2 linked regions of the Diceros bicornis minor genome follow. The protein of the gene in region 2 interacts with the protein of the main gene of each other region in a biochemical or structural test. Links are inferred from orthologs where the notes say so. Each region holds a gene or a part of one and is shown on either strand. Other genes may lie near its edges. The genes, in order: POMC and MC4R.

Evidence for each region.
Region 1: the proteins of MC4R (region 2) and POMC form a complex in vitro, tested with the Homo sapiens proteins (2 studies listed by BioGRID). The link is inferred for Diceros bicornis minor from reciprocal best matches to the Homo sapiens genes MC4R and POMC.

The regions. Positions count from the first base shown.
Region 1 is NC_080751.1:57,386,910-57,393,872, reverse strand, and holds the start of POMC (pro-opiomelanocortin), read right to left. Parts: upstream 3,074-6,963; coding exon 2,942-3,073; intron 891-2,941; coding exon 270-890; 3' UTR 1-269.
Region 2 is NC_080755.1:51,340,062-51,346,223, forward strand, and holds MC4R (melanocortin receptor 4), read right to left. Parts: upstream 1,505-6,162; coding exon 506-1,504; downstream 1-505.

The sequences.
Region 1 (6,963 bases), on a different chromosome or scaffold from region 2:
ATTATGTCTCTCCTCCGATATCTTTTGCTCTTTATCTGATGGATATGTATTTTTACTTTATTCACCCAGTCGACATTCAAAGTCAGAGTCAGATGTGAAACTGGAAGGGTTTTATTTCCTAACTACACACGGCGGGAAGAGGCCGAGCATCTGCCGCTATCACGGCCCGAGCAAACAGCACACCCAGGCTGCGAGGCGGCAGGAGGCAGGCGAGGAGCGGGGCGTAGGGCCGACTCCCTGGGGAGAGAAGCCCCTCGCCCGCTGCGCCCTCACTGGCCCTTCTTGTGGGCGTTCTTGATGGCGTTTTTGAACAGCGTCACCAGGGGCGTCTGGCTCTTCTCGGAGCTCATGAAGCCGCCGTAGCGCTTGTCCTTGGGCGGGCTGCCCCAGCGGAAGTGCTCCATCTTATAGGGCCCCTCGTCCTTCTTCTCGGCCGCCTCGGCCTCCGCCACCAGGCTGTACTCCAGGCCGGCCGGGGCCGCCGCGGGCTCGGGCCGCTCCCCGGCCAGCTCCCGCTTGAACTCCAAGGGGAAGGCCTCGGCCGACTCGTCCTCGGCGCCGTTGGGGTACACCTTCACCGGGCGCCGCTTCTTGCCCACCGGCTTGCCCCAGCGGAAGTGCTCCATGGAGTAGGAGCGCTTGCCCTCGCGCGGGCCCGGCTCGCCGCCATCGCCGCGGGGCGCGGGGCGGCCCACCAGCACCACCGCCTCCTCCTCGCGCTTCTGGCCCGCGCCGCCGCCGCCGCTGCTGTTCCGGCGGCCGAAGCGGTCCCAGCGGAAGTGGCCCATGACGTACTTCCGGGGGTTCTCGGTCGGCGGCTGCTCGTCGCCGTTGCCGGGGAACACGGGCGTCTCGGCCGAGGGGTCGGGCCTGCAGGCCCGGATGCACGCCTGCGGGAGAGCCGGGCGAGTGAGGGCCGCGCGCCGGCAGCCCCCCCAGCACGCCCTCCGCGCTGCGCCTGCGCCCTCCGCGCCTCCAGTGCCCCGCGACCGTCACCACGTGCGGCCCTCGCTCCCGGGGACGCCTGCCCTCCTCGTCCTCTTGGCCCCCACGGACACCTGAGACTCAGCTTGGGCATCGCCTGCTTTGTCCCTGTACCCCTTGACACTTCTGCCTGGCAGCTGCAGCAAAAACCCCATGCCACTCCTTGGTTTACTTGTCCCATAGCTTTTGCGAGCAGGGTCACCGTCTTCCCGTTATACGTCTGATATATAGGAATTAATAAATGGCGGGTGGGTGTTAGTCGTTGGGACTTAATGAATATTGAATAAATATATTTGGTTCAGTTTGAGTCTGGGAAGGACATTGGGCTGAAATTTGGGGTAGAATCTCCCCAGGTGGGAGAAGTACAAGTCTGGCTTCTAGGGCCTGTATTTTCAATAATGCCTCAACCCTACCCCAGCGATCTGCAAACCTACCCCATGCCCTACCCCAGCTATCTCCTTGTACCATGCTTCAAAACTTTCCCATGTCCATCTGGCACTTTCTCTGGTTCTTTCAAGACTTCTGAGCTGATCCTGTACTTTCCCCAATCAGTGAGCTTTGGGAGGGGGTTTCGCTTCCCTGTCATCTCATTCTGACTGGAGGGAGGGATAGAAAGCCAGGATTATTTCCATTGCACGGGTCATGGAGTGCGTGTCTCTGCTCTCTGTAACTAGACAACTCAGCTGTGGTAAACATTTGCTTAGGAAAATGACCTATACGCTGCAGCCTTGAGTTTTCAATTACTCAAGACTGCAAAGGAGGAAACAGAAGCATCCCACCCACTCTTGAGTTGGGAATTTCATACTCTGGGAACTTAGAATTCTAACACTGCAGAATATTAACAGTGGAAAATAAGAAGTATTTCATACTCCTCTCCCCTGGACACAGGAGAGCTCAGAGAGGTGAAAGGACCTTGGCAAGGTTCCGTAGCTCACAGGACTGAGACTAGAACCCATGGGCTCTGATGATGGCTGTGCTCTTTCCCTGGTGAGCTCTCAGGAGACGTTGTGCAGTGGGTGTCTCCAGTCAAGAGCCTCTTGCATCTCTCTGAACTAGAACTCACAGAATTCCCTGAGATCATTGTTTCTATTTTGTATTCCACATGCAAACTGCTCTGTGTTTTTGAGAAAGTCTCTCTTCACCTTAACTCAGCTTCTCCATTGACAAAACACAGAAGGTAGTGATGTGCGTTCCATCTTCACTACGCAGGTGCTGGCAGCAGGGTGGAACGCGCTCACCAACACCAGCAGTGTGTCTTTTAGTCCTTGCTTGGTATCATTTCTCATTTATGCCTCCCAATACACACACACACACACACACCCTGTGGTAACCTCGCGGGAGTTCCAACCTGGCACAACGGGCCTTTACATGCTTCTGGAAAGGCTGCAGGAGGTCAGTCCTCCAGAAGAAGCATGAGCCATTGGGCACCAGTTAGAGGAAAATGGCACCTGGGTTTTTCCTTCTCCCTTTAGAGATGATTTGTGGTACTACCTCGCTGGGGTTGTAACTGGTAGTAGATAAAAAGGGAAGAAAAGTGGAATGCAGATGGCAAGTGATATGAGGTTATTTAAAAACGAATAATTTGGAGGCTAAAAGATTGAAAATGTAGGATCAATTGAGGGAGCAATTATTGTTATTACTGTTATTAGTATTGTTATTATTATTTTTATGGCACTATCTCTAAATAGCTTAAATGGAGTAGTGTCCCCATACAAGGAGACAGGGCAGGAAGCAAAGATAATCAAGCCAAAATTGTGGACCAGACCCATCTGGTCCTGCTTCCTGAAGCTGCTTCCTCCCCTCCTTGACCCAATTCTGACTTCACCCTAGAGATCTGTTCCTGCCCTGGGTTGAGTATCTCTGGGAATGAATCCAAACCCCTTTCTTTTGTGCTGTCCCAACCCCAGCCCCAGTCCCACCTGATGCCCAAACAAGATGGCAGCCATGGCCCACATACCAGCAGGTTACTTTCCGTGGTGAGGTCCTGACACTGGCTGGTCTCCAGGCACCAGCCACGCACTTCCACGGAGGCCTGAAGCAGCAGGGCCAGCATCAGAGCCCCCGAGCGGCTGCCGCGTTGTCTCGGCATCTTGCAGGCAGGCTGAGGCTCTGCGGAGGCAAACAAGATTGGTGGGACCCCTGCAAGGAGCAGAACAATGTTGGTCACTCACCAGGAAGGACTGTGAGCCAACATTAACAACACACTCATTTGTGGAGCTCAAGGCTTTTTGAGGACAGGAGCAGTTCAAGGAGAAGGTTGGTGTGCAGAGTGGTGGTGTGAGTTGTGGTAGAGCGGAGGGGAGTGGGACCTGGGTGAACTATGTGGAATTTCCCCTTTATCTCCTGTTAAAAATCAGATCTGAAAGGAGATAGGGCTGGAAGCTATTTTGGGGGTCATTTGGTCCAGCCCGTTGTTTAAGAGATGGGGAAACTGAGGCCCAGAGAGAGACAATAACTTGGGTGTTCATGACAAGGTGAGGCTAATTTCTCCTTTTACTAGCACGGAGCTTTCCTATTTCACCACCTACATGAAGCTATAGTTCTAACACTCCAGAACCAAGGAGTAACTTGGGAAAGACAAAGGATTCTGAAGCTCCTGCTCGATGGTCTTTTCCCTCCGCCTCCACCAGGATCCTATCATTCCTCAGAAACTCTTATTTCCTATGAATAGTAGGTTTGCATAAGCACAAATAAAACCTCTGGCCAACTTAGCCAAAACCACAGCCAACCCAATTTGATGTCCTGTACACAAACCCCACAAATGATCACTATCTCCCACACCCCGGCATCTTTGGAGAGATTTACTTGTAAAGCACACCCCCATTCTTTTAAAACTGGCTCATCTTCTGAACATATTACATGTCAGACCTCTTGTTCTCTGAGTCTCTCAAATGTAGTCCTAAATAGCTGGACTTGAAGATGCTGTAGGTGTAGAAGGGAAGGAGATGGACAGACAGAGCAGAAGGGAACTACTTCCCCTTGTGGAGAAGTCAGGAAGTACCTCTGGGCAGATGCTGAGGCCAAGAGGTCAAGATGCGGTAAAGAGTGGAGCCAATGCTGCCCTTTGCCCCCTGTGCCCAACCCTTTCCCCAGCCCTCTAGCTCTCATGCTGCCATGTCCCCCCTCACCCAGGTCAGCCCCCTGAAGTGACCCTGAGTTCTGTCATGAGCTCGCCACCAACCCCACAATCATTTTGGATTTTAGAAGATCTTCTCAACCAGCTGTTAGGAAGAAACCTAATTAGATGATAAAAGTAATTTACATTAAGATGTAGGTGACTAATTGTCTCTCCTAGTGGACATTTGCATTTTAAAATGTTTACTTAAAGAAATCTCGCATTTGTGGAGGCATGGGCCAAATCTTTTTTATAGGGAAGGCTTTAGAAGTGAAAGCTCTCCTTGGTTCTCATTGTCTACTTCAGGAAGCCACTTCCTTCTCTCTGCCACACCCCCACTCCTTTCCCCAAAAGCTGAGCCAGCTCAGGGCTCCCTTCTGAATGGTTGCCAGGCACTGCCTATTTTCAGAGCAGCCATTAGATGGCACTGGCAGCCAGTGAGCTGGCCCATCAGTATCTCAGGCTGAAGGGGCAACTGAGAGAGCACTGGTCAAATCGTAATGTCCAGTCATGATGGGGGACAGGCTGCTCCTGTTGTAGCCTTTTGATGCTCCAGTTCAAGTATGAAGCCTGAACTTGGTGGACAAGGCAATTTACATTAAAGCTCTGAGACCACACAGCACAGAAAAATGCCCAGATTTACAAGAGAAGCAGAAAAATGGTAGTTATATATCACTGTGGGCAAGTGTAAAAGAACATATTAGTAGAGAAAGAAGTAGAATCATACAGGTCTGACAGTTCTCTCAACTATATTTAAATTCTCCTCAAGATTGGCCATTCCAGAATGATCTTTTTCTAAAAACCTACCTCATGTGTTCAGGGCTTTCTGAAAAGCCCCAGAGAGCATTTCCTCTTCTTCTGCTGCATTGGCTGTGTTGCACAACATGGTAACATTCTCACTCCCCACCCTCTCAGAGCTCCATTCTCTGGCTAAAAAGTTAGATAGTTTCCTGAAAGCAACTTGTTTTCTTTTTGCTTTTGTGTATTTTCTATTTTTCTACAATGAAGAGATATTACCTTGTGTCCTTTTTTTAAAGCAGTAATGTAACCAGGAAATGTCAAAAGCTGTGCTTTTTGAGGGTAAGGAGAGTGTTACAACCCAATAATTGAAAGCCTTAGAAAAACAAATAGAAATTTGTAATTTGTTAATCTTGACATTAACTTTATAATACAACTACATTTATTAGAACTTCATATGTGTAGGTGAATTCTCTATGAGCTAAACAAAACATTTTGTTTGTTACTCTCACATTGCTCACTGGCCATGCCCTTCTGTAAAGATTAGAGGAGCAGAGGCACGGGGTTTTGTCCTTGCACCATGATACACGTGCATCAAGTCCTAAAACAAAAGTGTCAAAGGAATATTAACTCCTTAAATAAGCCATAATCTGTGCATATCTTCACAGTTGACAAAACAAATGCACGCTTTTACTTTCCTTGGCTCCTTCCAGCCATTCCTTGAGAACAACCACCTTCCCACTTATACCGAAGAATTTGGGGGATCCAAATGCCCTGCAGACTCTCCCTTCTTCCCTGGAGACCCCCCCTTGCCTGAGCCTCTGTCAGCTCAAACGGCTGCTGCCGCCCTGCGGCCTAGGGTCTGCGGGATGGGAAGTGCACTCTGCAGTCCTATGGAGGGCACCGACATGGCGTTTCAGGACCTTGGACAGTTCCCGACTGGGCGTCCTCTTTTTTGCCCCAGCTGGGAGACCCGTGTCGCTACCGTGGCGCAGCCACGTCGAGTGCTCTAAGGTGGGCAGAAAAACGAGGATTCTGGGGTCTGAATCCCAAAAAGTCTGGAATGCAGGGAGTTTATTGTGACTTTTAGCCTTTTCTCTCCTGCCCCCTTTCCAACGTTAATTTGCGCCAGAGTTATATGGTGTCCTTTAAGAAGTGACACCTCCCCAGGAAATAGAGAGGAAGAGGAGCCAAAAGACCGGGCTCTCCCCAGAAGGCGGTAGGAGTCTCAGGGGTTCTAGCAGCCCCACTCCCCGGAGGAGGCGCGGCCGCCAGCTCCGGGAAGCACCATCTCCAGCGTGGCAGCCGTTCGCTCACCGGCCGGAGGCTGGCCCTCGCCGCTCCGCTGCGGGCGGCTTCCCACGCCGCACTCAGTGCAGAAAGTTTTCAAAGAGCTCAGGACCGAAGCGAGGCAACGGCGCCTCGAGTCCGCTATGGGAGCTGGACGAGAGCATCCCGAGGCCCCAGGGCAGGGGGTCCCGGGGGGAGAGCTAGGTTCCGCGCCGGGGCGCCCTTACCTGCCGCGGGGAGGCTGCTCTCTGGGCGACTCCCGCTGCGCCGGGGCAAGGATGCTCGGCGGCCTCTCTCGGTCACTTTTCTTCCGCTCTTTCTCCTCCTTCGCCGCCGTCTGGTCCTGGTCGCTCTCTTCTGTCTTTATATACCTACGGGGCTCGCCCGTGTGGGGCGCTAAACGAGAACTTCCCGGCAGGGCAGCGTAACAAGCAACTCCCCCGTCCATGGGAAGGGGGGCCATGGTGAGGGGGGTTTCCAGGTAGGGGTTGAGCGCAAGGGCAGACGTGCCTGGAAAGGAGGCTGGATCTCTGCCCCCGGAGGCTGGAATTAGCACTGTCCGGCTAAAGGGCGCACCTGGCACCTTCAGGAAAGAACTTAATTAAGGACGGTGTTGGGTCTCCAGTTAGGACGAGCGGGAGGCTTAGCACCCCAGTGTGGCGCAGGCCTGGCGTGCCTGCTGAGGTCGTTGAGAAGAGGGTGAAGTTACCTGTGTGCGCGCTTGGGCTGGCATCTGCCTCATTGGCATTTAGAGGTAAATATCACCGCAGAGGCAGTACGTCTGTGATGCCTCAGATTTCCCCAACTTTTGGAAACTGATGTGAAGAAGTAACCGG
Region 2 (6,162 bases):
TGAACAAGTTTTATTAAATTACTTGAAATTTCAGCTTATTTTCTTAATGATTAAGCATCTATTCTTCAATATTTCCCCCTTAAATGCTAGAATCAAATCCTTTACTTTAATGTTGTATAGTGTAATGTAAGAAACCATTTATTAGAACATATTTAATGAGACTGTGATTTCCGTGTTCCTAAAACAAGCAAAGTGTCAAATCTTTATGAATAACAAGAAAGAGACATTGTTAAGCTTTTAATAAGGACCTTTATCTTTTTTGTAAATGCATAGTGCCTACAACCTGTAATATGGATTAACATTTTACAGCCAAAACGTAGCATGACATTAAAAATACACAGACTGGGCATTTTTCATATGAAAAATCATAAACTTAAATTTATACAATAGATGTTTTCAACCAGTGCCCTACACAGAAGAAAAAACTTGCTGAAGCACACTGTTCAGGTTGTATAGGAATGAAAGAGTCTCTTATGCATGTTTTTAGCATCTCCTCTGTCCCCATTTAGTATCTGCTGGACAAATCACAAAGGCCTCCTAGAGGGTAGCAACAGATGATCTCTTTGAAGGTTTTCCTGAGTTCTTGGCTCCGGAGTGCGTATATCAGAGGATCAATGATGGAGTTACACATGATCAGTATGAGATACAAGTTAAAGTGAGACATGAAGCACACACAGTATGGATTCTGGGGACAAGAGATGTAGAATATTAAGTGGAGGAAGAATGGGGCCCAGCAGACCACAAAGACTCCAATCAATATGGTCAAGGTTATCGCCCCCTTCATGTTGGCACCTTGGCGGATAGTGCCTGTGCCTGGGAGGACAGCGATCCTCTTAATGTGAAGTCTGGCCATGAGGAACATGTGGACATAGAGAGAAGCCATGAGAGCCAGCATGGTGAAGAACATGGTGATGAGGCAGATGATAACAGCACTGCTATCTGAGTAAATGATGAACAAAATGCCCGAAACCGTGCAAGCCGCCCAGATACAACTTATGATGATCCCAACCCGCTTAACAGTCATAATGTTATGGTACTGGAGAGCATAAAATATAGTAAAATACCTGTCCACTGCAATTGAAAGCAGGCTGCAAATTGATGCAAGCAAGGAGCTACAGATCACTGAGTCAATGACATTATCAATATTCACTGTGAAACTCTGTGCGTCCGTATCTGTACTGTTTAACAGGGTGATGACAATGGTTTCTGATCCGTTTGAAACGCTCACCAACATATCAGCCACAGCCAGGCTACAGATGAAAAAGTACATGGGCGAATGCAGATTCTTGTTCTTGGCTATTGCCACAATCACCAGAATATTCTCCAACAAACTGATGACACCCAGAGTCACAAACACCTCAGGAGAGACAAAAAGTTGCTCGTAGCACCCTCCGTCAGAGTAGCCTTTTCCAAGGGACTCACTGGCATTGCTGTGCAGTCCATAGGTGCTGCGGTTCCAGAAGTGGAGAGAAGTGTGCATTCCATGGCGATGAGTAGAGTTCATCCTGCGCCAAATGGATTCAAATCCCCTCTGAATTGATTCAACCTCCTGGGTCAGGTAGCCACAGTGATTTTCTCCACGTCTTTATCTGGCTGAAAGTTATGAGGCTAAGATTGGCATGCCTGTGGTGAGTAAATGTCACATGCTGAGAAGCTTGAAATGGAGTTCTTAGTCTCTTTCAGGTATTGCTCTGATCACCGCCACTTTCAAATCTTAGGCTTCAAAATGCTCATTCTCAGTCGAAAGAGTCTGCTGTTTGCTTTTTCGTTCTCACTTCTACTTTAACTTTAGTCTTATGCATTCAGGTCTTTTCAAAGTAATTTTCCTAGGAGCTGCTGTGCCATGGGAGACGAATCTGTGTGCACATGCTCCCTTCAGCTGCCGCTCAGAGGTATTAGTTCCCAACCTGAAGCGTTGCTTTGAGTGTTAGTAGCTGCTGCCGATTTTATGGTGTGTGGAGGGAAAAAAAATGCTCAGAGTGGCTCCTCCTCTGCTTCCTTCCGACCAATCCCAGTGCCGTGGAAGTCTGTGAGACAACGGTGATGTTCCAGAGACACAAACTGCAGGGCAACACTGATTCACATGCAGAAGCTTGGGGGATCGGGAAGCGAGCAGAATGAGAGAGACTGACTGTGCCTTTTCAAGTTTTCCAGGAAGACAATTTGGTCCATAGAGGACATTCTTTGATATCACAATGAGCCATCTTGAGGCACCCAGGCTTATTCCTACTTAAAAGAGCTGTGTGTGTGTGTGTGTGTGTGTGTGTGTCCCTGAAACAGATACACTACCTTTTCGGCTAGGATGTTGAATTTATTTACTCTCTCAGTTTCTTTGATTAAGAATCCAGGCAGTAATGCTTCAATTTAAAATACCTGAAACACAGAGAGAATATTTGATAATACAGGTAGACTATGCTACGGATGGAAGAACTATGTAGGTAGCTACAATTTACCAAAGGGTTCAAGAAGGGGTTCATTTCTTAGGTACTGATATCTGATATTTCTCCATTGTGGTTTCTGTTATTATAGCTGGAAAAGTTTTATTTTCATTCACAATATTTAAAAACCAGACAGCATTAATGTAAGCTATATTTACTCTGAACTCAGAAAGAAAAAGATCAATAATTAAACACTCAGTTTTTTAACCTTTACTGAGATATAATTGATATACAAAAAATGTGCATATTTAATGTAGAGATTTTAATGAGTTTGGACGTGTGCATACGCCATCATCGTGTTGCCAGCATCCTGGGTTCTTGTTGTCCCCCAGGATAGAAATCAAGAAAGAGCAAGAGTGAGATGATAGAAAATTTATTAGCTTGTGCACAAGAGAGCCAACCACGAAAAGGCAAGAAAGGAGAGGGAGAGAGGCAGCTGGCTTCCCGAAGAGCCACACTGTGTTGGGTTTTTATCAGGATGGCGGAGGGGATGTGTCTTCCGTCATGGCATGTAGAGGTGGGGTTGTGCTTCCGCTGGCACTGTCTGGTAGCATGCGATTATGTGCGATGCATATATCATTAGCATGCTTGCTCTCCTCCTGGGGGGATTTTTAGTATGGTAATGGGGCTAGGGTCACCTTCAGTGGACTCTTGGGTGCTAGGGCACGTGCGTAAGCCAGGGAGAGTCGGGAGGCTGTAGAATGTGGATCTTGGTGGCCTCTATCTGATTCTCTTAGCTTGCTCATTAGTTAGGGGCCCTGTCTTATTAGGCCAGGGGCTTTGCAGATGTCCCTGTCTCATTAGGCTGATTCCTGTCTCAACCATAATCAACGTACTAAACATATTCATCACCTTCAAAAATTTATTTATATTCTTTTGTGTTTTCTTTTCTTTTTATTTTGTGGTAAGAACGTTTAACATAAGAGTTATACTCTTAACATATTTTAAAGTGCAAATACCAGGTTGTTAATTATAGGAACTATGTTGTACAGTAGATCTCTAGAACTTATTCATCTGCAAAACTGAAACTTTATACCCATCAGCCAACAATTCCTTGACAATGGTCTTGGTGATGATTTCTTGGATTTAACACCAAAATCAGGCAACAAAACCAAAAATAGACAAGCTGGATTACATCAAATTAAAAAGCTTCTGAACAGCAAAGGAAATAATCAGCGGAGTAAAAAGGCAACCTACAGAATGGGAGAAAATATTTGCAAACCGTCAATCTGATAAGAGGTTAATATCGAAAATATGTAAGAATCTCCTACAACTGAGTAGCAAACAAAACAAAACAAATCTGATTTAAAAATGGGAAAAGGACTTGAATAGACATTTCGCCAAAGAAGACATACAAATGGCCACCGGTACATGAAAAGGTGCTCAATGTCACTAATCATCAGGGAAATGCAGATCAAAGCCACAGGGAGATATTACCTCACTCTTGTTAGGATGAGTATTATCAAAAAAACAAAAGATAACAAGTGTTGGCAAAGATGGGGAGAAATTGGAACTCAGTTTTGTTTTTGTTTTTTAAGGCAGCCAATCTACCTCCATAATTGAAGGCTTTGTAAATTAAATCCACACATATCTTGGCAACTTTACTTATTCAAGCCAAGAAAAGTAGATGCTAGTTATTTATCAGTTTCTGAGTGTTTTGCTTAAGCTAAGTTTGAAAGATTGTGGCAAAGTTACTATTCAAATTAATTAAACTCCTGGTTTTAAAGTGTATGTAGTATCCTTTTCTTGCTATGACTATTTTTGGTTTTAGCTGACTACTAATTTGGTTTTAGCTGTGGCTACTAATAATAGGGACAATAAGAGAGAAGTATTTCAGGCTTAAAGTTCTCAATTATTTAGGTAAGGGTTTTATTTTCTTTCCCTTTTGTGACAGAGATAATGCTTTTATTTTCTTTCCCTTTTGTGACAGAGATAGTGCTAAGTATTATTCCTGAGCATTGAGCTAAATCAGCATCTTCTATCCATCCCTGGAATTAGATGAGGCCTTATGACTGAATTCTACTAATGGAATGTGGGTAGAAGTGATGTGCATTATGTTATCTCCCTCATGATTCTACACATTTTCTCTCCTATTAGTAGATGACTGCAGAATGTCTTTGAAGACTCATGTCATAGATGGCAGAGCCATATCATGGAAGAAGGCTGGGTCTCTGAATAACTGCACAGAACAGAACTCACATCCCCAACTCCCACCACACCCTAGCCCACCAACTACGTTGAACTGTGGTATGAGCAAGCAACAAATATTACTGTTAAGCTGCTGAAATATTGATATTCACTTATCACAGCAACTAGCGTAATTACCTTGACTTTCAAATTTTTTATGGAGCTATTTACAAGCACAAACCCATATTACATACAAATCCTTTCTTTTCCCCATTTTGGATTTGTATGAGAAGTGAATTACCTAATAAATAAACAATAGGGAAGAAATCTATTGAATTGTTTAAGCATCAGATAGTCAACTCTGTATAACCTTCCTGAGTCAACCCTTGACTTTGTGCTGCTCCCTACTTCTCTTGTGGCATAATCATTCCATTTGCTTAGACCTAAAATTCAGAGTATCTTTGACTTATCCATCTTTCTCAAAAATCCCTACATGCAATCACTTGTAAAATACCTTCAATTCTACCATTTGTCTTGCTCCTCTTTTCCTCCTTACCAAACTCACTTCTCGTTATTCTCCTTCACAGAAACTTCATTGCAGTCAAACTTGCATGCAATACCCCATGCACACTAGAGATTTTCCCATGAATTTACACTATTCCCTCTACTTGGAATGCTCTTCCCCTATATTTGTGAATGCACAATCATCCTTGTTTTGTAAAACTTATTAATAGGTATATTATATAATATATATATATAATTATATATTAGATAGAATTAGTAAAGTGAAAACAAAACTCTCTTTCTTTTAGCTTTTCACAAAAAAAAGAATTTTATTTACAGACATTATGACCATACTGAAATCCAAGAAAACCATGTATATTTAAAATCTCAAATTTAATTATTTGGTGTAGATTTATAAAACCTTGATTGTATGGTTAATCACACTGAAAAGGTGACATTTTGTCATGTCCAAGGAAGCATTTTAATTGTCTGCCGTAATTTAGTTCACTGTGAGCCAGAAGAAATACAGCCAGCAATGTTAGACACGTTAATGGTATTTTCAAAAATTTATTGCAGATTTCTTTTTTTAATACACACAAAATTGAGTAAGATCATAATATGTTTCTCTTATGAGCAAAATCCTTGTTTTATATTTTATAACAATAAATATGAAACATTACTAAAGAGAAGTATTTATCAAACTGTTTTACATGGAATACTATTTTTAGGAGATGTTAATGTTTTTTCCACCATAGAATAAAAGGGGAGATTCCAAGGTCAAATCATTTTGGAAAATATTGCAAACTCATTGCCTTCTGGAAGTTTCAGAGTTTACGTTAGCATATAAAATTTCTGAAATTTCTTACTAGAAAAAATTCAGTATTGCTTAATCCACTTATTTCGTAAGCTTATTTGGATATAGAACCTACCTTCTCCTACGTTTATTTTTCAAGTAGCTATTACGCTCAGTTCTGCTATAATGCTTGTTTTGAAAATGCAGATTTGCTCCAAATTTGAAGGATTTATCAGGGAACATTTTGAGCATAACACAAATTTTGTGTTTGTTTTTGCAGTTTCTGCAGGAGAAACAGTA